7 linked regions of the Macaca fascicularis genome follow. The protein of the gene in region 5 interacts with the protein of the main gene of each other region in a pairwise test. Links are inferred from orthologs where the notes say so. Each region holds a gene or a part of one and is shown on either strand. Other genes may lie near its edges.

Region 1 (3,500 bases), on a different chromosome or scaffold from region 5:
CCCGAGTAGCTGGGATCACAGGCACGCACCACCACACCCAGCTAATGTTTGTATTTTTAGTAGAGACAGGGTTTCACCATGTTGGCCAGGATGATCTCCATCCCCTGATCTCGTGATCCACCCGCCTTGGCCTCCCAAAGTGCTGGGATTACAGGCGTGAGCCACCGTGCCTGGCTTAATTTGTAGTCTTTTATCCCGCACCCCGTTCACCCTTTCCCCAAGTCCCCAAAGTCCATTGTGTCATTCTTACGCCTTTGCATCCTCATAGCTTAGCTTCCGCTTATGAGTGAAAACACAAGATGTTTGGTTTTCCATTCTTGAGTTACTTCACTTAGAATAGTAGTCTCCAATTCCAACCAGGTTGCTGCGAATGCCATTAATTCATTCCTTTTTATGGCTGAGTCATATTCCATTATATATATATGTACCAGTTTCTTTATCTACTTGTTGATTGGTGGGCATTTGGGTTGGTTCCACATTTTTGCAGTTGTGAATTGTGCTACTGTAAACTTGTGTGAGCAAATATCTTTTTCATAAAATGACTTCTTTTGTGTTTTTTTTTTTGAGATGAAGTCTCGCTTTGTCGCCAGGCTGGAGTACAGTGGCGTGATCTTGGCTCACTGCAACCTCTGCCTCCGGGGTTCAAGCAATTCTCCTGCCTCAGCCTCCCAAGTAGCTGGGACTACGGGCATGCACCACCACGCCCAGCTAACTTTTGTATTTTTAGTAGACACAGGGTTTCACCATGATGGCCAGGATAGTCTCAATCTCTTGACCTCATGATCCGCCTGCCTTGGCCTCCCAAAGTGCTGGGTTTACAGGCGTGAGCCACCGCACCCAGCCATGACTTCTTTTCTTCTGGGTAGATACCCAGTAGTGGGATTGCTGGATCAAATGGTGGTTGTACTTTTAGTTTTCTAAGGAATCTCCACACTGTTTTCCATAGTGGTTGTACAATTACATTTGGCCATGAATTCAGCTGACACTTGTCAAATGTCTGTTGAATATCATGCTTGTGCTAGGTGCTGGGCTTACCCTAGTACAGCAGACAGCCTCTGTCTTTAGTACAGCAGAAAAGGCAGATGGGAAATAAGGTAGTGAACAAATAAAGGCAGGATGCACACCAGGTACAGCGATAGAAAACTGCAGGAGCGACCTCCTTGGAATGGGGGTTAGGACAGAGGTCTTAGAGGAGGTGACATTGAAACTGTGATCAGAGGGTGAGAGATGTCAGCTCATGAATAGAAGCCTATAGGTGGGAAAGCACTTGATACCTAGGAAGAGACCCTTGTGACCCTAAAGCAGCTCTGCCAGGTGGGCGGGCACTGCCTACGAGACCAAGGCCTCAGTTCGAGAGGAGAGTCACGAGAACAAGGAAGAAGCAGGCTCAGGTCTGGCCAGCATGGTGACTGGCCTGATGGTTTCCTCTGATCGGATTTCCATGCTGTTGCATTTTTATTTCTGATTCTAGAGAGGTGGGCGGTGGTGGTGTTCTTTGAAACCAATCAGTGTAATTAACCAGCCTGTCCTCTGCCTTTCTCCCATAGGTTGATATGGGAAGTCTGGATGCCTTTTGTTCGAAATATTGTCACTCAGTGGCAGCCAAGGAACTGTGACCCGATGGTGGACTTTTTGGATAGTTGGGTGCACATCATTCCTGTGTGGATCTTAGATAACATACTGGACCAACTCATCTTCCCCAAGCTGCAAAAGGAGGTGGGGTGAGAGTCACAGGAACAACTGTCATCACTAACTACAGGGACTTGTTCAGTCTATGTCTTCATTATCTCAGTGCTGTTAAAATGCCTGGAATTAACAGAATTTGTCAACACAACTGTTGACCTAGAGTGTTAATTCCAGCCTTTTTCTCAGCACTTTTCCCCCCAAGCCACCCTCAGGAGGGAATTCATTTTCTTGATTTCTTCACTAAAATTAGAATTATGCTATTTCTGAGAGGTAATCAAATGAATGGGCATATTTGTTTGGCGATGTACAAAGGACCATGGGCCTTGGAGAGCATGGGGCCTCCTCCAGGGGCAGCTCTTGCCTTTAACCACACGGGTGTTATGTGACTGCCCAATAGGCGACATGAACTGTTTCTTCTGTTTCTTCTCCCCACATTGCAGGTGGAAAACTGGAACCCGCTCACAGACACTGTTCCCATCCACTCTTGGATCCACCCATGGTTGCCCCTTATGCAGGCACGGCTGGAGCCGCTCTATTCCCCCATCCGTAGCAAGCTGTCCAGTGCCCTGCAGAAGTGGCACCCCAGTGACTCCTCTGCCAAGCTTATCCTCCAGCCCTGGAAGGATGTCTTCACTCCTGGCTCCTGGGAAGCATTCATGGTCAAAAACATAGTGCCCAAGCTGGGTAAGGATATGGGGAAAATGCAGTCCAAGCCCAGCAGCTTTGGTGCCCTGGTTTCTTGGTCAGTGGTGATTTAAAGCATAGCCTTTGTATTCATGAAAGTGCTTAGTACACAATATTCCTTGCTGTTCAGAGGCTGAACATAAATGTAACTTGGGTCCTTTCCGCTGTTTGTTTACAACAGCGACTAATAGTTGACAGTAACAACATCGGACTCTGTGCCTTGTGGTTTTCCTGATTGGCTTTGGCTTCTGGTAACAGGACAGCCATTGGAGTTCTGAAATTTTTGTGGTATTTTATTCTAAATTATTAGGGAGTTATTTCTGGTTTAGCAAAAAAAAAAAACATATATATATATATATATATATTTTTTTTTAAGAATTGCTATGTCAGGAGCTTAAATTTGACCTTTAAAGCAGATTAAAGCCTGAGCAACATGGTTAAACCCCATCTCTACCAAAAATACAAAAACTAGCCAGGTGTGGTGGCATGTGCCTGTGGTCCCAGCTACTAGGGAGGATGGCTTGAACCTGGGAGGCAGAGGTTGCAGTGAGCTGAGATCTGCCATTGCACTCCAGCCTGGGCAACGGTGAGACCCTGTCTCAAAAAAAAAAAAAAAAAAAAACCGCCAGGAGCCGTGACTCATGCCTGTAATCCCAGCACTTTGGGAGGCTGAGGTGGCAGATCACCTGAGATCAGGAGTTTGAGACCAGCCTGGGCAACATGGCAAAACCCTGTCTCTAATAAAAACACAAAAATTAGCCGGCCGCGGTGGTGCACACCTGTACTCCCAGCTACTTAGGAGGCTGAGGCACAAGAGTCACTTGAACCCAGGAGGTGGAGGTTGTTGTGACCTGAGAGGAAAACGGACATTATCTTTGCTCTTTGTGCTTCTGTGGCTTTGCCAGTACTAAAGCTGTGCCTTATAGACCGGGTTTCTCTTCCAGGGATGTGTCTTGGTGAGCTAGTCATTAACCCCCACCAGCAGCACATGGATGCATTCTATTGGGTGATCGACTGGGAAGGGATGATCTCTGTCTCTAGTCTGGTGGGACTTCTTGAAAAGCACTTCTTCCCCAAGTGGCTTCAGGTACACTGTTTTGCTTGGCTTTCTGGGGGAGGGAACTGGGTGG
Region 2 (3,500 bases), on a different chromosome or scaffold from region 5:
TCAGTATTTCTTTGAACATTTTTTTCTGCTTCTTTCTCTCCTCTCCTGATTCTCCCATTACACTTATGTTGATTTCCTTAATGCTGTGCCACATTTCTCTGAGGCTGTTTATTTTTCTTCATTCTTTCTCTGTTCTCAGATCACATCATCTCTTCATGTTTGCTAATCTTTTTGGTTTTTTTGCTACTTCAAATCTATTTTCCCTAGCTTCTAGTGAATTTTTCATTTCAGTTACTGTAATTTTCTACTCCAAGTCTTTTTTTTTGAGATGAGTCTTGCTCTGTTGCCCAGACTGTACAGTGGCTCAATCTCAGCTCACTGCAACCTCCGTCTCTCGGGTTCAAGTGATTCTCCTGTCTCAGCCTCCCTAGTAGCTGGGATTACAGGCACATGCCACCATGCCTGGCTAATTTTTGAATTTTTAGTAGATACTGGGTTTCACCATGATGGCCAGGCTGAACTCCTGACTTCAAGTGAGCCACCCTCCTCGGCCTCCCAAAGTGCTGGAATTACAGGTGTGAACCACCGCACTGGCCTCTAAGTCTTGATTCACATATTATTCTTAATGAATTTTAATAGATATTCTTGAATCGATGTATCTTCATTTGCTATATGCCTTTAATACCATTTCCAGAGACTTTAAATAGCTTTTATATAATTTTCACCCCTTTTACTGGGCAGCAGGTTCACACAGCTCCTCACACTATTATGGTGGAAGTTGTTGTATCTCTCAGAGCACTCTTATTGTTTGCCAGGTCACAAAAGAAGATAAGTCCTTCCAGAATATTATGCGTTGTTATAGGACTCAGCCACAGGCCCGGAGCCAGGTAACTACATTTTCTCTATGGGCTGAAAATAACGCTTAAAGTCTGTGATGAATACAAGAAATTAACCATAGTTGACTCTGTGGCCTTTTTTTCCAAGATAAACACCTGGGACTCTACTTAAGGGAAATTTCTGCTTTAATCTTCTTTATTCTTGATGTCACATGTTGATTAAGTTCTCTTTTCCTCAGAAGGCAACAATGTTAAATATTTGATTGCCTTCTCAATTCAGAAAAATCACAAGATAGATAGGAATTAAGAAGTTACTTGGTTTCTATGTCACCATTCTGGTTTAGTAAACATACTGTACGTTTAACCAAGAGAATGTCACATGGAAATTTAAAACCCACTTTGCCTTTATTACGATTCGTCTCTGAGAGGCAAATTGGCAGATCTGTGTATCTGACTTAGAATGACTTGACTTTATGGTTGGGTGCTGTTACCGCAGCGTGGTACTGCAAGTAGTACTTGGCATGTGAAGCTAGATGGGCTCTGATTGAATCTTAGATCTGTTATAATTTGAGTTATGTTTCTTAGCCTCTTCTGAGGACAACTATTGCTACACAGATTATTGTGAAAAGTAACATATGTCAAGGTCCTATCACCAAGGGTGTGCTCAACAAATACTAGTTTACATCCCCTTCTCATTATTTCTCTAAAGGTGTATAGAAGTGTTTTGATAAAAGGGAAAAGAAAAAGACGAAATTCCGGCAGCAGTGATAGCAGAAGCCATCAGAATTCTCCAACAGAACTAAACAAAGATAGAAGTAAGTGGGATCTTTGTGAACTACAAGACAAAATTAGGAGCTTTTCTTACTTTTTAGGACTTGAAGTAACCATTACTAAATGAAATAACTATAGAAACTATGAAAGTGTATAAACAAAGGGTTTAATGGATCAGTAAATCAAATTCTGGGTGGCAAAACTGTCCATTCCATAGCTTTGGGGCACATATTCTATAACATTTTTCTCCAGGAGAATTAGAGCTTTCAGTGAGGAATCTGCTTGCCTGAGTTTCAGAAAGGACTGACATGTCAGTTGGAGCCATGCTATGGAAATACCATCCCCTACCTGTTGGTTTGTCCTAGGGCTTAGGTCCTAGAAAACTTGGTGTAGCTTATTAATACTACTCAGAAAGCCCTTGCTATGGTTATGGCATAGGGATATCAAGTTAAAATCCTAGCTGAGCTTTGCCTTTTGGTGTGAAGAACAGAGTGCCTATTCACTGTTATTAGCAAGTAATGCAGGTAGCTGTTCCCTTTCTCCTACTTTTTAAAAATTAAAACAATCTATACTAGCAGCTTTTGTATTGACACCCTGTGTTCTCCTGGAAGCAGCCAGTAGAGACTCCAGTCCAGTCATGAGGTCAAGCAGCACCTTGCCAGTTCCACAGCCCAGCAGTGCTCCTCCTACACCTACTCGCCTCACAGGTGCCAACAGTGACATGGAAGAAGAAGAGAGGGGAGACCTCATTCAGTTCTACAACAACATCTACATCAAACAGATTAAGACATTTGCCATGAAGTACTCCCAGGCAAATGTAGTAAGTATTACAGGGATCATTTCATGCTTTTTTCATGAGTATTGAGGAATTATTTATGATTTATATATGGACCATTCACCTGGTCCATATATAAACTAGTTTTGGCCAAGCGTGGTGGCTAACACCTGTAATCCCAGCACTTTGGGAGGCTGAAGCGGGCAGATCAGTTGAGGTCAGAAGTTCGAGACCAGCCTGGCCAACGTGGTAAATAAAACCCAGTCTCTACTAAAAATACAAAAATGAGCCAGGCGTGGTAGAACACATGTGTAATCCCAGCTACTCTGGGGGCTAAGGCAGGAGAATTGTTTGAACATGGGAGGTAGAGGTTGCAGTGAGCTGAGATTGCGCCACTGCACTCCAGCCTGGGCGACAGAACGAGACTCTGTCTCATAAATAAGCTAGTTTTACAAATAATTCTATTAAGTAAAACTGAGGAGGTCTGTAATTTACCTAACCAACATAAGTTCTGTTGTTAAGCATTAAACAAGAATAAGATTGTATTTGGAGTCCCTACAAAGTATAGTAGTACAAGAGACAGGCTACATGGGTTCAAATTGTCTAGTACTTAACAGTAGTGGTAACCTTGCAAATCATTAAATTTTCTCTGTACCTTGTTTCCTCATATATATAAAACATGGGAATATAACTAGTTCTTAGCATATGGAGTTGTAAGGATGAAATGACATAATGTATAAAAATTGCTTAAAATAATAACTGGCACAAACTAAGCACTTAAGGTTTGCTATTAGAATGTTTTTCTTTAGGTTAAATTAGTGCTAATATATCACTCTTATCATTCTCAGTAAAAATACCTCATTATAAATTTCTTTTCTTAGAGTTACTGATTTTTTTTTTTTTTTTAACAGATGGATGCTCCTCCACTCTCTCCCTATCCATTTGTAAGAACAGGCTCCCCTCGCCGAATACAGTTGTCTCAAAATCATCCTGTCTACATTTCCCCACATAAAAATGAAACAATGCTTTCTCCTCGAGAAAAGATTTTCTATTACTTCAGCAACAGTCCTTCAAAGGTGAGCCTAACATCAATCTTGGCCTTTACTAACCCCAAAATGCTTCAGATGCTAGAAAGAGGGTTTGTGCTAAGCCTAGGCACTCATTAGAGTGATGAGAGC
Region 3 (4,162 bases), on a different chromosome or scaffold from region 5:
AGGTCGTAGTGGTCCCGGGGGTCTCTATTGAAAATGTCCGGATCCACGAGGTCCATCCCTGGGGGCCGGAGCTGGGCCTGCGCCCAGGGGCCAGCAGGGCCTCAGGGCTCAAGTTCTGGCACCTCCCTCTGTCCCCAGAAGCCCTGCACCCGCCTTGCCTCCGCGGGCTGTGGCCTCCCTCCTCCCCACTCTCGCTTCCTGCCCCAGCTGCACTGCAGGGCTGTGCAAAGGGCTCCACCCCCTGTCCCCTGGGCGCTGAGAGCCTCTGAGGGGCAGCTTGTCTTGGGACCCAAGGGACCATCCTCAACCTCCAAGGCCCAGGGCTGGATGTAAATGTGATGCAAATTATCTTAATGGTAACTGGATTGGAGGGGGGTGCCTTAGAACCCCCGCCCCCGTCTCCTAGGTAGTGTCTAAACCTCTACTGGGTGCTTGAAGGTTTGGCCACAACCCGAAGGCGGCAAGTCTGCACAAGGATGACTACGCAGTGTACATGCCTGTTCACCTGTCACATACATGCACTTGGGTTACCTCCTCTGCACTGCGCGGGCATGTAGACGTGTAGATGTGCATCTACCTAGATACCTGTGTGCACAGTACACACGTGGAGGTACCCAGCGCATATACCTCCACATACATGGCACATAACTGCATTTTCTACGCTTGCAGTGTACAAAACCTATACATGATATATAATTGATGGCAGTACAGATGGGACCCTCGCCCTCAGCTCCAAGACCGGAACCTAATGGAGACCGGGCGCGATCCGGCGAAGTCCAGGAGCCCTCACCCCAGCCCCTGCCCGGCAGAGCACAATAGCTTTGTGGGACCCTCTTCCTGGAGCTGGGGATCAAGGGCCGAGACTTGAAACTGGATCCTGGGCGCTCAGGATCCTGCACCATGCGCCCAGGCCTGAGGCGAGAGGGACCTCAGAGAACATCTCCCTCGGGACTTGGCCAATGCCTAAACGGAGGGCTGCTGCGTGCATTCCCGCACAGCTCCGGGGACTTAGGGCCACGCGCAATACAACGCGCGCGCACGCCGCCAGAGCTCCGACTGCTTCCCAATGAGTTCGCGCGCGCACGCTCCCGCGCCCCCGGCACTGGAACTGGGTCTGTGAGGCCCGGGAAAAGCTTAGCCCCGCCCCTCGCCGAGAGGCGCCTGCGCACTGGGATACAGTAAGCTTTTTCTCACGCTGTCCGTCCAGCTTGAGTGGAGCGAATGCGCACGCGCTAATTGCCCCTGCGAGGAAGAAGTCACGTGGCCGCCGGAAAGCGTGGCGGCTGCTGCGAGAGCCTGTCCCTTCACCGCCCCCAGGGAGCTGGAGCGACAACAATGACGTCGTTTCCGTTTCCACCACCTCTTCCTTTTCCCGTCCTCGCGGACGCCGTGCCGGGCCGGTGTTAGTCTCCAGCCCTGGTTGTGGAAAGCGACAGAAGTCATGGCGATGTTTGAACAGATGAGAGCTAACGTGGGCAAGTTGCTCAAGGGTATCGACAGGTCTGAGCCCGGTCGGAGGGAGCGCTCTGGCCATGCGGGGCGGAGGGGAGGGTTTTCAGGAGGCAGCAGGGGGTGGTCAGGGTCCTGGGCTTGCCGCGGGGTGGGGTTTCTCTATCCTCCTGGAGGAGGAGATGCTTAAAGAAACGCCACTGAGCTGGGGGCGGTGACTCACGCCTGTGATCTCAGCACTTTGGGAGGCCGAGGCAGGCGGGTCGCCTGAGCCCAGGAGTTAGAGACCAGCCTGGGCAACAGTCATACCCCGTCTTTAAAAGAAAGAAAGAAAGAAACAGCCCTGCAAAGGCCTAGAAGCGAAAGAATCTTGGTACCGCTCAGTCTCTTCGTGAATTGCCTTAAGATTTCCTTCTCTGCCCTGCCTCCTTTGAGTGCCTCTGAATCTCTCCCTTCTCTGCTCCTTACGTCATTCATTCACATGTTTATTGAAATAAAGTGTCAGTGCTAGGCAATGCTGGGAACCACAGGCGAATCAGACAGCGGCAGATCATGCCTTCACGGTCTGAGTTCCCATTCCATGAGGGAGACAAACCTGACATCAGACAGTGATATCTGGGAGAGGTTAGAACCGAAATGGGGGAAGCAAAGGCTAGAGTGTTCAGACGGACATGGGGGAAGTAGGCATCCAGGTAGGCAGGAGAGGATGGGGCTGGATCAGGGTGGAGGCCTGAGCAGGGGAGGAAGGGGTGAGTAACAGAGATGTTCAGGAGGCCAGATGCACAAGCCGCAGTGACTGACTGGCTCAGAGGTTGGGGAGGTATCCTAGGCAAGACCCAGGGCTCCAATGGAGTATAGAGCTTAGGTGAGAGGTCTGGGATATGAATAAGTTTTATTAGAGATTATACTGGACATAATTCACTACCTGGATAGAGCAAGTGGCCAGTGCCAGATTTAGAGGGGAAGGGTGGGAGGAGCAGGTTACAGTTGCCCCTGCAACTGTAAAGTGACTGGCCTCAGCTTCTGTCTCCTGTCTGCTCACCTATCTTGATTCTCCTTTAGGTACAATCCTGAGAACCTGGCCACCCTGGAGCGCTATGTGGAGACGCAGGCCAAGGAAAATGCCTATGATCTGGAAGCCAACCTGGCTGTCCTGAAGCTGTAAGTGTCTGGCTGTCTGTCTACACTCCCATTTCAGCAGCTAGCAGGGTGCCACTCCCAGTACAGGGCAAGGGGGTGGCCGGTGGTATCCTGCATGATGCAGCATCTCTTGGTGTGCAAGACTAGGAAGCCAAGGAAGTTGGGACAGGAGGAGGGATGGTTTTTGAAAAATCAGTTGCCGAGCGCAGTCACTCACACCTGTAATCCCAGCACTTTGGGAGGATGAGGTGAGTGGATCACCTGAGGCAGGGAGTTTGAGACCAGCCTGGCCAACATAGAGAAACCCCAACTCTGCTGAAAAATACAAAATTAGCCGGGCGTGATGGCACATGCGTGTAATCCCAGCTACTTGGGGGGCTGAGGCAGGAGAATCGCTTGAACCTGGGATGCAGAGATTGCGGTGAGCCAGGGTCGCACCATTGCACTCCAGCCTGGGCAACAAGAGCAAAACTCCATCTCAAAAAAAAATTAATAATAAAAAATCAATTAGGGTGGCTGCAGGGGCTCATGCCGCTAATCCCAGCACTTTGGGAGGCTGAGGCGAGATACTCACTTGAACCAAAGAGTTCGAGACCAGCCATGGCAACATAGCAAGACCCAACTCTATAAAAAAATTTAAAAATTGGCCGGGCATGGTGGCTTACACCTGTACTTTGGGAGGCTGAGGTAAATGAATCACGAGGCCAGGAGATCAAGACCATCCTGGCTAACACGGTGAAACCCCATCTCTATGAAAAAAAAAATACAAAAGATTAGCCGGGTGTGGTGGCGGGGCGCCTGTAGTCCCAGCTACTTGGGATGCTGAGGCGGGAGAATGGCATGAACCCAGAAGGGTTGCAGTGAGCCTAGATCACACCCCTGCATTCCAGCCTGAGCTACACAGCAAGACCCGTCTCAAAAAAAAACCATTGTTTTAGTTAATGTAGTGGTGTGTGGCTGTAGTTCCAGCTACTTGAGAGGCTGAAGTGGGAGGATTGCTTAAGCCTGGGGGATCGAGGGTGCAGTGAGCCATGATCGTGCCACTGCACTCCAGCCTGGGGGACAGAGTGAGACCCTTCGTTTTCTCAAAAAAAAAATAAATAAATAAAATAAATAAGAATTACCGATCTGGCCGGGCGCAGTGGCTCAAGCCTGTAATCCCAGCACTTTGGGAGGCCGAGACGGGCAGATCACGAGGTCGGGAGATCGAGACCATCCTGGCTAACACGGTGAAACCCCGTCTCTACTAAAAAAATACAAAAAACTAGCCAGGCGAGGTGGCGGGCGCCTGTAGTCCCAGCTACTCGGGAGGCTGAGGCAGGAGAATGGCGTGAACCCGGGAGGCGGAGCTTGCAGTGAGCTGAGATCCGGCCACTGCACTCCAGCCTGGGCGACAGAGCGAGACTCTGTCTCAAAAAAAAAAAAAAAAAAAAAAGACCGATCTGGGTGACATGGCACAGCCCTGTCTCTACAAAAAATCAGCTGGGCACAGTGGCACACAGCTGTAGTCCCAGCTACTCGGGAGGTTGAGGCAGGAGAATTGCTTGAACCTGGGAGGCAGAGGTTGCAGTGA
Region 4 (2,607 bases), on a different chromosome or scaffold from region 5:
AATAGAAGGGACGCTACTCTACATCATGGAACCCCCAAACGCTCTCTCTGACTAGCCACCCGAGGCTGCCCCGCTCTCCCTTCCCACACCCTGGGGTGCGGGAGCGCTAGCTCTTAGCCCCGTGGGTGAACAGCGACCTTGGAACCACACCGAGGCGGCAGGGAGATCATGACGCAGCCGCTGGGGTCTGAAAGTTCTTCTCCTCCATCCCACCCTGCCAGGTGGAGAAGACGCGGCTCACTGCTGCTTCAGACTGGAAGTGGGGAGGGGGTGGGGGGAGCAGGCTCTGGGTTACCCTCGGTGATCCGAGGAGGACAGGGAGGGCTGGCTCTCCTGGGCAGGTGGTAAGGCACTGGCAGGGGGAGGACGAGGACGGCAGGTGCTATTCTGCAAATTGGGGACAATTCAGTCCTGCTACATGGATCCGTGAAAGGAGGGCTTCCACCTCAACCAACCCCTTAGATCCAGGGTGAGAAACTGTGGGCTTGGTGACAGGGATAGCTATGGCCACCATCCACTATTCTTCTGTGAGGCTGTTTTTGTCTGTTTTCCTCCTTGGGTCTCTCAGCAGGTGGGTTCGTGCCTGGTGCTCCAGTGATGGGAAGAAAACCCACCTCACCACAGCTACTGCCCGTGAGAATATAACCAGGGCAATGGAATGTCGGTGGGCACTGAAGCGGGTGGGTTGGGAGCTGTGGGCCGATTATCATGAGTAAGCAGGAGAGGGAGACCCCACTAGGCTCGGGACATGGGGGGCCTGCAGTAGGGGGAAGTGCAGGTGTCTCTGTCCCTGAGGAATGGATGCATTTCCCCTGCCTGTTCCCTCAACACCAGTCAGCAGCCACTTATGCAGTAGTGGGGGCGTCTCTGGGCAAGGCCCTGCCTCCAGCCTCTGCCCTCTGCCCCCACTTGAGTTTCTTTGTCAAACAAACAGCAACTCCTCATGGCTGAGGTCTCAAGGGACCGGGGAAAGGCCTGCAGGAGAGGGGTTAGGTTGAACAGGAGAGAGAATGGGCTGGGTGGACAGGGGAGGTGGCAGAGGAGAGGCTGAACCCCAGACAGGGTGAGGAGGGCTGCTGAGTAGCTGCCAGCCCCGGGCCCGGCACGTGGCCCTGGAGGAGCAGCCCCACCCAGGCACCGCCTTGGGCTGTCCTAGTCAGGAGATCTCATTGCCAAACACTTCGAGCACGAGGGGCGTGAGCTTCATGCTGCATTCAGGCTGGAAGGAGAGGCAGCGGTACTGCTTGGAGTGCTCCTCATTGAGGCTGCGCAAGTCGGCCAGCTTCTGGATCATCTTGGCATAGAGCAGGTGGCTGCCCGGGGGCGGGTGGCGGCAACGGATGTAGGTCTGCAAAGTGTTGGACAGGCGGTCCTGGATGGCCTCGATCAGCGCGGCGTCCTGCACCCCGGGACGATCTGTGGACAGGGTGGTAGAGGAGAAGGCACAGGAGCTCTGAGCTGGGCCCCTCACTGCTCAATCCCCCCACCTCCCACCCACACAGACACTCAATGGCAGCACCCCCTAGGCCACCCCTCTATGACTGCTGACTGGTGATACCACTGCATGGCCCCAAAGCCCTCCAGTGACTTCTCCTTGTATTTAGGATCCAGTCCCAGGTCCTTCCATGGGCCCACCTGGGCCTGTCTCTGCCTGGCCTTGCTCTCTGTCCATGCTCCGTCCATCCCTCAGCGTTCTGATGCGCCGTGCTCTCTGGTCACCAGCCTTCACATCTGTGTTCCCACTGCTTGGAACTCTGTTCTGCTATCTTTGCCAGACTCTTACTGATCCTTTGGGTAACAGCTTAAAAGGTCTTCCTCCAAAAGACTCCTGGCAACACTCTACCTCCGTGACCCAGACCATGTCAGCCTACCTCCTTCTACCATTCTCTAGTGTCACTTACTTTATTTTTAAAACTCTTGCCATGTTAGGAATTAGTTGTTAAATAGCATTTGTTTAATGTTTCCATCTAAGCTTCATGGGAAAGGAGCCTGTGTCCTGTTTGCTGTTGAACCCCAGTACCTAGCATAGTGCCTGGCACCCAATAGGTGCTCAGTAAATTGTTGCTAAGTGGATGAATGAATGAGTGAAGGCTGGCTGGGCAGGTGTAGGGGAGCCCACCTCCATTCCTTGAGCCTCCAGTCCAGGAAAGCATCCCTGGGCAGAGGCCACTAGCTTGTCCCCTGAACACAGCACTGGCTGAGGCAGGGCCATCCCTCTTTGGACCTCATCACCAACATCATGTCCCCAAGGTTACAATAACTTCCTCTTCTGCCTTTTCCCCCTCTTCTCACCTCTAACCAGCAGAAGAGGTCAAGGGTCACAGCACACTGCCTCCAAAATCAATCAGGTAAACTGTATAGGCAGAACTATCTCTCAGGCTCCAGGGTTTTGTACCCTGCCCACGAGAAACCTCAAATAACAGGAATGTTGAGCCCAGTTCACACAAGAGCGGAGCCTGAGTATTGGGAACGCGCAGGGCCGTCTGTGGCTCGAGGAACCCTGCTTATCTAGTTTCTCAGAATACCCCCTACGAATCGCCTGCAAACTCTGTAAGGCAGAGCCAAGGGCGGTGAGGGGCACCTCAGCATCCACACACCACTGGGGCT
Region 5 (2,160 bases):
CTGAACCAAGCCTAACTAGTACACAAAACTCACACTTGAACATGTACCAGCTACCTCACTTAGCTGCCCACCTGTGTTGAGCAACCCTTCCAACATCCACTTCCAAAAGCAAAGTGCATGTCTTCAAGATAAAAGGCCGTATTTATTGTAATATTTATGTATTTCTCAACCATTTGACATGTAAAAACCAAGCTATCCTTTTTTTAACATGTGTCACTCATTTGAGTGTTGTGCTTCAAGCCCCATTTTTCCCATGAGACCTGTGGTTTTTATTGTGCAAATTGCATGGCATAGTGATTTTCAGGAACACATAGGTCACATTATAAAGAGAACTGATTATATTTGGGTCAGAGACCATATAGCCCGCAAAGCCTAACTATCCAGCCCTTTACAGAAAAGGCTCAATGATCCCTGCTTTAGACCACTGGCTTCCGCCTCCTTACCTCATACAGTCCAGAAATAGACTTAACCCACACACCAATCCAAGAAGCCAAAGCCAGTTTTATTTCACAATCTTTATTACAGTAGGATGATGGTCCTGGGCCACCAGCCTAAACCTTGTGGCCTTAGGAAAGACCTGTGTCAACAGGGCTTCCTCCCTCTCTAGACAGGGGCTCAGCCACCTCCAGGGCATCCCTGTTGCATTTTCTCTGCTGGAGGATGGGGCAGAGGGACAACAGGAGAGGAGGGCATGACCCCACCCCAGGCTGTAGCAGCTCCTCGGCCACAATGATCCTTTTGCCAGTAGCAGAAGGGAGGAAAATAGCAACCACCAGGGTTACCACCACTTGTGGGATGGCCAGGACCCCGTTATGTCCTCTTACAGTTGTGCTCAAAGCAATTAATAAATTAAAATGAGCCTTCAGCAGCAAAGCTGTCAATCACACAGAAGCTGAGCAGAAAACAAAGCAAAGAGGAATTTATAGCTTCTCTGGCTGAGGCCTAGGCCCCTCCCTCTAGGAGCAGCTGTCAGCACGGATTATATAGGGGCCTCCAAAGTACTGAGGAGTCATCTAGACTATTCCCCCTCATATGTGTCTATCATGCATGAAATTTCAGAGGGACCCCAATCCAAATGCAATAACCCTAGAAGGGGCAACACCTTTAGAAGGCACTAGAGCATTTTGGCAGTTGAAAACAGCCCCCAGGGGTGGGGGGCGCTCAAAAGGAATGCTGGCGTTATGTATCCAATTCTGTCCCATCAGCCTGCCCCACCCCCAGCTAGAGTTGGGAAAGGCGCTGCTGGTCAGATGCAGGGAGGAGGAGCTTGACTACCCACCGAAATGCAGACGTGGCTGGCCAGGCCCCTTAGTGCACACTGCGGGGATGGGTAGGACCAGACCCCTTGGGCTTTGTGAAGGGGGAACAGACGCCCCTTCAGGCTTCAGATGTGGTGTGGTTTGTTCCTGGAGGCAGGGAGGTGGGTGGCAGCGGCCCCTCCTCTGCTTAGTGGCCACTCCAGAGGGCCTCTCCAGGGCTACAGGTGTATGGCTGTGACATCTGTAGGAGTGCTGGTCTGGCTGGGCCCTTGGCTGCTGGAGCCCCGGGGGGCTTTGGGCGCTGGGCTGGAGCTGGTCTGGGCGGCTTCCCTGAGGCTCTCCCTGAGTGCAGCTTCGATCTGCTCCTGACAGGCCCGCAGGCAGTCCTGGGAACATGGGAGAACAGTGAGGACTGAACACTCCCCCCCATAGCATCTGGCAGCAGGTGCAGGGGAAGGACAGCTCCCAACACATGGGGAAGTCTGGGGAGGTTAGGCCACAGCCCAGCCCCAGGAATCGCTCTTCAGTTCTCAGAAACTAGCAAGAGGATGTGGCAAGGGAGTGTGAGAGCAGCCCTGCATCTGACACCGAATCCCCCACCCCCACTCCAGCACACCACTTGGCAAGAAAAGAGCCCCTAGGGCCAGTGCCCTTCACCCCACCCAAGATACTTGCTCTTCTCCAGACCAAGGCAGGAGATAAAAAGCCACAAAGCCCCAAGGTTGTGAAACCAGGACTCAGGACCAGGTTGGGGTTGGAGGTTTCCCTCTACTGGAGGCTCAGGGCATAGCACTATATGAATGGAGAGGCTGCTGCCCAGCTGCCCAGCACTCACCACTTCAGTGCCAGTGATCCCTGCCAGCAGCTCTGTAAGCTCATCCCCGGACATGGAGCAGGCACC
Region 6 (4,065 bases), on a different chromosome or scaffold from region 5:
GCCTGGGCAAAAAGAGCAAAACTCTGTCTCAAAAAAAAAAAAAAAAAAAAGCCAATCGGAATGGTATGTGTTTAGGACTCAGCACACACAGTGCCAGGCATATGCTTAAGTTTTCAGGAAACAGTAGCTATTATTGTTGGTATTATTTTTACTGATAAAAGGAAGGCAAAGGGTCAGGTGCCATGGCTCATGCCTGTAATCCCAGCACTTTGGGAGGCCAAGGCAGGAGGATTGCTTAAGCCTAGAAGTTTGAGACCAGACTGAGCAACATAGTGAGATCCCACCACTAAAAAAAAAAAAAAAAAAAAAAGGAAAACAAAAAGCTGGGGTTCAGACAAAGCTCCCTTCATTAGGCACCGTGCTCATCTGCCCTTCTGGAAGACTCCCATATCCCTGTCCCCTCAAGGGAACCCCCTCTGCCGTGAGAAGAAGGGGTAGAAAAGGAGCCTGCCCTCCCCGCTCTGTGTGATGTGTCCCCTACTTCAGGACCCCCCACTCCCCTCACAGGGTCTGGCTATCTCATTCAGCCTCTGTGAATTCAGACTCTCTGTGCACCTCCATATCCCAGCCCAGATTGGACCCCTTCTCTCTGCTCCCCAGTTATTAACCAAAGTGGGGGAGATAGGAGACAGCACCCCTCTGAAAGGAAGATGTGCAGAGCAGGGGGCCTCTCTGGATGGGCTCCAGGTCTAAGCTCCACACACCCACCTCACCTGGCCTGATCTGCCGCCCTGTCCTGGAGTACAGCCAGGGATGCACTAGGTGGGGGTGAAAGGGCCCTCCGCCAGGCAGCAGGATTTCCCTGCCCCTGATCCGGCCAACTCCCTGGCCCTCCTCCAGACCTGGGTTCCTAGAGAAACAAATCCTCTTTCCCCTCAGCGCCAAAGCATAGCTACCCTACTCCAAACAGAAGAGAGAGGGAGAGAGGAAGTCTTGTCCCTGGGGAGCCCAGGACCCCATGGTTGGCTGCTGAACTCTTGGGTCTAGGGAGAAATGACTGAGGTCCCCAAGTCTTATTGAGATGGACCCTTGACTAGAGCTAAGAGGGCTGTGCCAGGACCGAAGTTCCTGCAGAAGTAAGGCTGAGTTCAGAGGAGACATCCCTTCAGCAAGCCCCTGGTGCCTGTGGAGCTGGGGGCCCAGCTCAGCCGGCCTTGACTGGCTCAGGACTGTGTTTGTCTAATGGATCTGTTTTTAATCTCCCCCCTGCAGGGCCTGAGGAGGGCACGTGGCTCAGAGAGACCCTGCAGAGAGGACAAACAGACTGAAGACAGACAGCAGGATTGGGGCCTTGAATCTTACTCTTCAGCTGGGACCTGGGGGTGCGCCAGGCCACCACCTCATCCACTGGGGACAGGAGCCAGAATCCAGAGAAGATGAGGAGGGAGTGGCATGTAGGCTTTCCAAAGAGAAAACTTCTATCTTTTCGTCTTTAAGTTCAGCAAGGACAGAGCGAGAAAGACTGATATGACTCCAAGAAGTATTGTGGTTAGATCGCAGGAAGAACCAACAGCAAGGAATGATGGAGATTCCTGCTCTCTCTGCAACATTCCAGACCCTTCTTAGATCCAGTCTCACTCCTATAGTCCAGGGTGCCCTCCCTCCCTACCCCCTTGCCCAGCCCAGCCCAACTACCCTCTCTCTGTTCAGTGCAGGAATTGAAGGCAGCAGGCCTGTCCTTACGCTCCCAGTGACTGGGGTCCTTAACTATCGTCCATCTCTCCCCCAGAGCCCCAGATGTCTAGCCCAGTTGGCCCAGAGAGCACACAGAAAGTGGGCTGGGAAAGTGGGAAGGGCAGTCTGGATTGACTTTGTTTTCCCCACCTTTGACCAACACACCCAGTTGGGCTGCAGCTGATCTATGGTGTGTGGAGGGAGGTGGGAACCTAGATTTTTGGAAATGTGGGATTGGGGTTTCACACGAAACCATTTGTTGAAATCCAAGAAAGTGATAATTATCCCTAGCGATTTTAGAACTCTGGAGCTGCTCGTTGCAGTAAAATACTTGTCTCACAGATGGGGGGTAGGGAGAGTAGAGTGGAAAGTGCACACGGGAAGGAAAGGGGAGCTCAGGGGGCGCTGGGGCGGCAGATCACCTGGTAGGCAGAGCTGGGCGCCTAGGGGTAATGAGCCTGCTCCGGGGATTGGGTTACCGAGGGGGGCACCGGGAAGGAGATTGGAATGTGTCCGAGCGGCTGGGCAGGTTAGAGAACCGGGCTCCCAGTCTGGATGCAGGGTTCGTGGCTCCACCAGCCTGCAGCTTCTGAACTGCGGACAGCCAGGTCCCTCGGCTCACCGAGTCCGGCCGCTGAGGCCAGCCTCCCCTTCCCCCAGAGGCCAACCTCGCGCTTCTGGTTTCTACGTGATTCACAGGCTGTGAGTCACCGCAGTGCTGGCACCGGTGGGCCCCCGCAGGAGAAAGCGGGATTTAGGCGTCGTGCCCAGCGCCACGGGACCCGGACGCCTGGCACGTTTTTCAGTGATGCAGGCGCCCAGTGTCTCACGCCCTGTGGTCCCGCTTTCTTTTTCATCCCCACCTTCGAGGACTCCAGAGCCCCCCTTGCCCCACCTGGGCCCTCGAACATTTCCTTACCCAGCACTTTGAGCAAATCCTCGAAGTTTTCCGATCGGATGATTTTCCAATTGCCAGAGAAGTTGGGCATGGTGGCGGCGCGGGTGGTGGTCCCCTTAGACCCCTAGGCTGGAGCACTGGACACTGTCTTTTAGTCAAAAGAGACGTCGCCGTCGCCGAGTCGTGAGGTTCAGGAACCAAGATACGACCAGGGACAACCCCAAAGCTGGCCTGGGCTCCCGCGCGGACAGCTTTTATACCCTGTGCGGAACCTCCCCTGCCCAGGATTGAAGTGGCCCCGCCTTCCGCTCCGCCCCCTCCCCCACTTGGGGGGGCCCTGCCACCAACCTCTGGATCTAGCCGGTGTGTGGGTCCAGGCTTCTCTGGGGACCGAGATAGCCTTCTCCTGCTCTAGGGAGTGGATGGGGAAGCGGATGCAAAGCCTGCACTTGAATTGCGCTGTCCGCCTAGGCGCGGGGAGCCAGCTGCGGGCGCAGATGCTCAGGGCTCGTGTATGGCTGTCCCCCACCAGAGTTCCTCACGTCTCGCCTGTTCGCCACCCATCCCCAACCTGACTCGGTGCATTCAACTCCTTGGCGCTGGACACCTGGCGACCCCACCCGCGGGCGGATCCCAGATCTTGAGCCGTAGCTGACCGGGGGAAATGGGCAACTGAGCCCTGGCTCCACTGAAGCCTGAACTAGATCCAGTGGGACCACTTCGAACTCAGAGAGGGGCGGGGGAGCTCCGGGGTTCTGCGGGATTAGGGATCTAAGTGAGGCAACGGCGCCCCCTGCTGGAACAACTCGGAGAGGCTGGGCGGGGGTGGCACGGTCCCCCCACCCCTCTATCCTGCTTCGGGCTCACGTAGTGCCTGGGGACTCTGGAAGTAGTCGCCAGGCGACTCGCTCCCCTTAATGGGCTGGGCGGACACTGAAGGGTTAAGCAGGAGCCCAGGGCGCGAGGCTGGGAGGGCAGAGGTCACAGCCAATCACTTGACGCGAGGTCTTTATTAAAGCGCTTTCTCTGTCGCTTCACTCCCCAGACCCCGAGGGGGTCTCCGTAGGCGGAAGGGAGGGAGGCGGGGACAGAAGCGCGGAGCCCTGGCGAGCTGCGCCGCCACCAAGATAGAAGGGAGGATGGGTGCCCGGGGAGAAGGCGGAGCAGGGTCTCAGGTGTCACCATCCTGAGCTGTAAAACGGGCGGAAGGAGCTACCTCCCCTCCCTTGGCGAGCGGCTTTGAAACGGGAGATCAAAGAGGGTGGGAGGAGGGCAAGGCTTCCTGCAGAGACCCGAGTGGGAGTGGGCGAGACCCCAGTGGAGATGGCAGGGAGACGGAGAAACAGAAACTGAGGTCAGGCAGGGAGCCTCGGAGACAGGCCTGGGACCTGAGGCCGGAAACCGCAGAGGAGCGGAGCCTGGCGGGATGCAGTGATTGGAGCCAAAGGAACCGTCCCGGCGTGTCCAACGCGGGGGGCCCTTCGGACCGGTGG
Region 7 (3,973 bases), on a different chromosome or scaffold from region 5:
AAAGGAAGCCAAGGGCAAGGGATGGAGAAAAGGACGCAGCTGGGGCCTCGATGTCTGAATCCCTGCCAGGGGATGGGGCCTGGGCACCCATCATTTGGAACGGAAGATGAGGATGGCCGGAAACAGACACTTCAGAGGAATGAGGGAGACAGAAGAACGACAGCAAGAGTTAGACAGTCCAACGTCTGCGGCTCTTGTAAGGGGGAAAGAAGAAGTGAGGCTGGGCCCCAATAAAATATGTTGAGGCCGGGCGCGGTGGCTCACGCCTGTAAGCCCAGCACTTTGGGAGGCCGAGGCGGGCCGATCATGAAGTCAGGAGATCGAGACCATCCTGGCTAACAAGGTGAAACCTCGTCTCTACTAAAAATACAAAAAATTAGCCGGGCGTGGTGGCGGGCGCCTGTAATCCTAGCTACTCTGGAGGCTGAGGCAGGAGAATGGCGTGAACTCGGCGGAGTTTGCAGTGAGCCGAGATCGCGCCACTGCACTCCAGCCTGGGCGACAGAGACCGAGAGACGTCATCTCACCAAAAAAAAAAAAAAAATTGAACAGGAACGTATGAGTTGAACTCTGTGCATAAGGCTTGCCAGACACCGTCTTGAGTTTCATAAACCCACCAGGAGAGCTGATTTTTCTTATTTTACTTATAGGGAAATGAAGCAAGAGAACTTAAGCTATTTGCCCGAGGCCATCCTGGTAGGTCTGTGTTTGGGAGAGTGCTGTGACTCACGCTGGACTCTAACCCACGAGGGTTTCTCGGGGTCAGCAGTTGGGGGATGAAAACATGAAAAGTGTGGCTGACAGGAAATTCTGCAAGCAGGGAAAGGGAAACAGAAATTAAATGGTGCAGGTCTCCGGGAAGAGAATGAGACTGGATCCACCAAATCACAGGAGGAAGCAGGCCCAGACCTCACAGGCAGAAAAAGAAAGAAACCAGAGTTTAGGAGGAAACCAGACCCCGGAGCTACGAGAGGGCCGGATCCCTGGCTCAAAAGGGAGGAGGGGCCTGGACCCTAGGAGTGGGAAGGAAGAGGTCGGATCCCCTGATCCCCAGGAGGAGGGGACCGGGCTGCCACCCAGTTGGGGCCCCGCGAGGGCGGGGCGCGGAAGGATCCGGGCGGGCCATGCTGCGCCACCCGAAGTATATCTGTCCCCAGTCCCCGGGGCCGCCTCATTCCCCGTCCTCAGATCACGGTCTCTTCTAACTACAGCGTTCTCCGCCTCCGCCTGCGTAGCCCCGGCCATGGCTCTGTAGCCTCGACCCCTTTGTGCCCCCAGCCCGACTCCGCGCTTACCACGCCTGCGCTCTCCGCTCCCACCTTCTTTCTTCAGCCGAGGCCGCCGCCGCCTCTCCTTGCTGCAGCCATGGAGTGAGTAACCGCTTACTTCTCCCTCTCCAACCGCCTTTCCCGCCCTTTCGCAGCTCGTGGCCCTCTTTAGGGAGCCCTGGGGGGAGGGGAGCTGCGAGCGGGGAATCACGGTCGCGCAGGCGCAGAAGAGGTACGGTGGGCCGAAGGCGCGCGGCTGCGCATGCGCACTGGGCCCGGAGCCGGGTGGGAGAGTTCTAGAGACTCGATGTTTGTCAGCCGGCGTGTGGCTGCGCCTGCGCACTCCAAGGGAGGGTGTGGTCTTTTTCTAAACGATTCTGTGCGTGCTTGGTTGTTCCTGCGCAGTAGCCTACCAGTGCCCCGTAATTAATGAGCGCGGGCCCTGAGTGTCCGCGCATGCGCACTGATCCCCAAGAAGGCGGAGGTGTAAAGCAATTGGACAGCTCGGAAGACGTAGCATGCGCTTTGGCCCTTGGCGCATAGCCGCGTGTGGACGGCTGGCGTTCGGGTAGCAGTTCTCTGCCTGCCCCCTCTACCCTCCTCCACCCTCCCTGCTCCACGTTGCTCTGGCTCACAGCCCAACTTCCTTCCTTTTAAACCAGGCACCTGCTGAGGCGGGGACTGGCTTAGATTGACAGGGGAGAAGGCGGGGCTTAGAGGCAGCCCTCTAAGTGGGTGGGGCTAGAACCACTGTCGTCACGATGGGTGGGATTTCGTGAGCCCATTGTGAGAAGGGGCGGGGCTAAGCCAACCTTTAGCTGAGGGGTGGGGCTTCGATGGGACAAAGAGGCGGGGCCTCTGGGGAATCGGAGAGGGGCGGAGCTAAATAAACAATGAGGGGCGGGGCTTGGAGGGGCAGTGGCAAAGCGAGGAGTGGGATTTGAGTGGATAACATTGCTGAAGGGCTGGGGCCTGGGGCAGTTCCCCTGGGCACTGGTTTGGGATGGAAGCTAGGAAGGCAGTGGGGCCAAAAGGAAATATTTTAGGGCAAGGGGCGTGGCTGGAAGAAAATGTCCCTGGAATTGAGTTTTTCCATGATGCGGAATATTCTGAGGTGGATGGGAAGGGCCTAAGGTAATTCCCCTGGGAGACCCTTAGGTTTCCGTATTGGGGGAAAGGGTGGGGCATCGGTCCTACCTTAGGACCTAAAGAAATTCCCTTGGGAGTGGGTGGGGCTCAGATTTGGGTAAAGAAAGGGCAAATTTAGAATTCGGAGAGGCTGAGGCTTAGTTATAAACTGTGGTTGGAAGGGGGAGGGAGGAGCCCCGTGGACGTGCCTGGGGGTGTGGCTTGGCTTCCCCATGATTTTGGCCGGTGGATGAGGCTTTCCTGACCCCACGACCCCACCCACTCTTGTCTCACACGTGTAGGTCTTCCACTTTCGCCTTGGTGCCTGTCTTCATCCAGCTGAGCATCCTCCAGAGCCTCGTCCCAGCTGCTGGTGCAGCGGCTCCTGTTGCCATCAGTGCCCTGCACCTGTGCTACAGCGCCCTGCACCTGTGCTACAGCCATGTCACTCCTGGCCACCCTGGGGCTGGAGCTGGACAGGACCCTGCTCCCAGCTAGCGGGCTGGGATGGCTCGTAGACTATGGGAAACTCCCCCCTGCCCCTGCCCCCGTGGCTCCTTATGAGGTCCTTGGGGGAGCCCTGGAGGGCGGGCTTCCAGTGGGGGGAGAGCCCCTGGCAGGTAAGGGCAGGTGGAAGGTGGAGCAGGGGAGTGGAGGGCAGGGGAAGATGGGGGAGGAAAAACTCATCCATGTATTCATTGAATGTTGAGTGCCTACAATGTGCCAGGCACTGTTTTAGGTGCTGAGGATACAGCTGGAAACAAGAAGAACATGGTCTGTGCCCTCCAGCAGCTCATACTGTGGAGAGTAGACCAGAGGCAAATTAAATGAGAGTGTATTGGAATAAGTCAGAAACACTTAGCAGCTGAGCTACAAAATGACAAAGGGGACCTAATTCAGAGTGGGTAGCCAGAAAACTTTCTCTAAGTAGGTAACATGTTGACGGAGGCATAAAGGATGGGAAGGAAGCCAGGCATGGTGGCCTGTAATCCCAGCACTGTGGGAGGCTGAGGAGGGAGAATTGCTTTAGTCCAGGAGTTCAGGACCTGGGCAACATAGCAAGGCCTCATATCTATAGGGAAAAAAAAAAAAAAAATTAGCCAGGCATGGTGGCGCATGCCTGTACTCCCAGCTACTTAGGAGTCTGAGGTGGGAGGATCGCTTGAGCCTGGGAGGCCTAGGCTGCAGTGAGCCAAGATGATGCCACTGCACTGCAGCCTGGGCAACAGAGTGAAATCTTATCCCTTACAAAAAAAAAAAAAAAAAAAAAGGAAAGGAATGAGCCAGGAAAACACCCAAGGGAAGAGCATTTTAGTTGGAGGGAACTGCATACGCAGAAGCCCTCAGGAGGCAGGAATCATTGTATTCATTACTGTATCCCAAATGCTTGGCACATCGTGGGTTTTCAGTAATTAATGAGTAAAGATGAAACAAGGTGTATCTGTGTGTAATGTGATCTAGTTTGCCTTTTAAGAACAGAGTAAATACAGACACCACAGATACAGAGTACTCAGTAAAGGAGATGTTGGAATGGTTGAAGAAATGCTTAATTGACTGTTGGTTGAGTCACTGGTTGG

What was found.
Region 1: the proteins of CCND3 (region 5) and TFIP11 interact in binary tests that used the Homo sapiens proteins (3 or more experiments, as listed by UniProt). The two-hybrid records come from large-scale screens. The link is inferred for Macaca fascicularis from reciprocal best matches to the Homo sapiens genes CCND3 and TFIP11.
Region 2: the proteins of CCND3 (region 5) and RBL2 interact in a two-hybrid assay, tested with the Homo sapiens proteins (2 studies listed by BioGRID). The link is inferred for Macaca fascicularis from reciprocal best matches to the Homo sapiens genes CCND3 and RBL2.
Region 3: the proteins of CCND3 (region 5) and EIF3K interact in a two-hybrid assay, tested with the Homo sapiens proteins (2 studies listed by BioGRID and IntAct). The link is inferred for Macaca fascicularis from reciprocal best matches to the Homo sapiens genes CCND3 and EIF3K.
Region 4: the proteins of CCND3 (region 5) and VDR interact in a two-hybrid assay, tested with the Homo sapiens proteins (2 studies listed by BioGRID and IntAct). The link is inferred for Macaca fascicularis from reciprocal best matches to the Homo sapiens genes CCND3 and VDR.
Region 6: the proteins of CCND3 (region 5) and CRABP2 interact in binary tests that used the Homo sapiens proteins (3 or more experiments, as listed by UniProt). The link is inferred for Macaca fascicularis from reciprocal best matches to the Homo sapiens genes CCND3 and CRABP2.
Region 7: the proteins of CCND3 (region 5) and ATF5 interact in a two-hybrid assay, tested with the Homo sapiens proteins (2 studies listed by BioGRID and IntAct). The link is inferred for Macaca fascicularis from reciprocal best matches to the Homo sapiens genes CCND3 and ATF5.

What each region holds. Positions count from the first base shown.
Region 1 is NC_088384.1:25,186,325-25,189,824, forward strand, and holds part of TFIP11 (tuftelin-interacting protein 11), read left to right. Parts: intron 1-1,547; coding exon 1,548-1,716; intron 1,717-2,126; coding exon 2,127-2,370; intron 2,371-3,314; coding exon 3,315-3,457; intron 3,458-3,500. UniProt on the Homo sapiens protein: Involved in pre-mRNA splicing, specifically in spliceosome disassembly during late-stage splicing events. Intron turnover seems to proceed through reactions in two lariat-intron associated complexes termed Intron Large (IL) and Intron Small (IS).
Region 2 is NC_088394.1:49,468,637-49,472,136, forward strand, and holds part of RBL2 (retinoblastoma-like protein 2), read left to right. Parts: intron 1-755; coding exon 756-827; intron 828-1,485; coding exon 1,486-1,591; intron 1,592-2,158; coding exon 2,159-2,367; intron 2,368-3,233; coding exon 3,234-3,398; intron 3,399-3,500. UniProt on the Homo sapiens protein: Key regulator of entry into cell division. Directly involved in heterochromatin formation by maintaining overall chromatin structure and, in particular, that of constitutive heterochromatin by stabilizing histone methylation.
Region 3 is NC_088393.1:45,685,410-45,689,571, forward strand, and holds the start of EIF3K (eukaryotic translation initiation factor 3 subunit K), read left to right. Parts: upstream 1-1,362; 5' UTR 1,363-1,441; coding exon 1,442-1,500; intron 1,501-2,511; coding exon 2,512-2,610; intron 2,611-4,162. Other genes in the region: MAP4K1 (mitogen-activated protein kinase kinase kinase kinase 1), read right to left, coding at 1-56. UniProt on the Homo sapiens protein: Component of the eukaryotic translation initiation factor 3 (eIF-3) complex, which is required for several steps in the initiation of protein synthesis.
Region 4 is NC_088385.1:54,587,022-54,589,628, forward strand, and holds part of VDR (vitamin D3 receptor), read right to left. Parts: intron 1,417-2,607; coding exon 1,157-1,416; 3' UTR 1-1,156.
Region 5 is NC_088378.1:129,633,430-129,635,589, reverse strand, and holds the end of CCND3 (G1/S-specific cyclin-D3), read right to left. Parts: coding exon 2,095-2,160; intron 1,646-2,094; coding exon 1,478-1,645; coding exon of another isoform or gene 1,272-1,477; 3' UTR 501-1,271; downstream 1-500. UniProt on the Homo sapiens protein: Regulatory component of the cyclin D3-CDK4 (DC) complex that phosphorylates and inhibits members of the retinoblastoma (RB) protein family including RB1 and regulates the cell-cycle during G(1)/S transition.
Region 6 is NC_088375.1:104,370,189-104,374,253, reverse strand, and holds the start of CRABP2 (cellular retinoic acid-binding protein 2), read right to left. Parts: upstream 2,801-4,065; 5' UTR 2,664-2,800; coding exon 2,594-2,663; intron 1,969-2,593; exon of another isoform or gene 1,213-1,968; intron 1-1,212. UniProt on the Homo sapiens protein: Transports retinoic acid to the nucleus. Regulates the access of retinoic acid to the nuclear retinoic acid receptors.
Region 7 is NC_088393.1:57,911,892-57,915,864, forward strand, and holds the start of ATF5 (cyclic AMP-dependent transcription factor ATF-5), read left to right. Parts: upstream 1-1,173; 5' UTR 1,174-1,370; exon of another isoform or gene 1,371-1,504; intron 1,505-1,790; exon of another isoform or gene 1,791-2,402; intron 2,403-2,698; 5' UTR 2,699-2,838; coding exon 2,839-3,016; intron 3,017-3,973.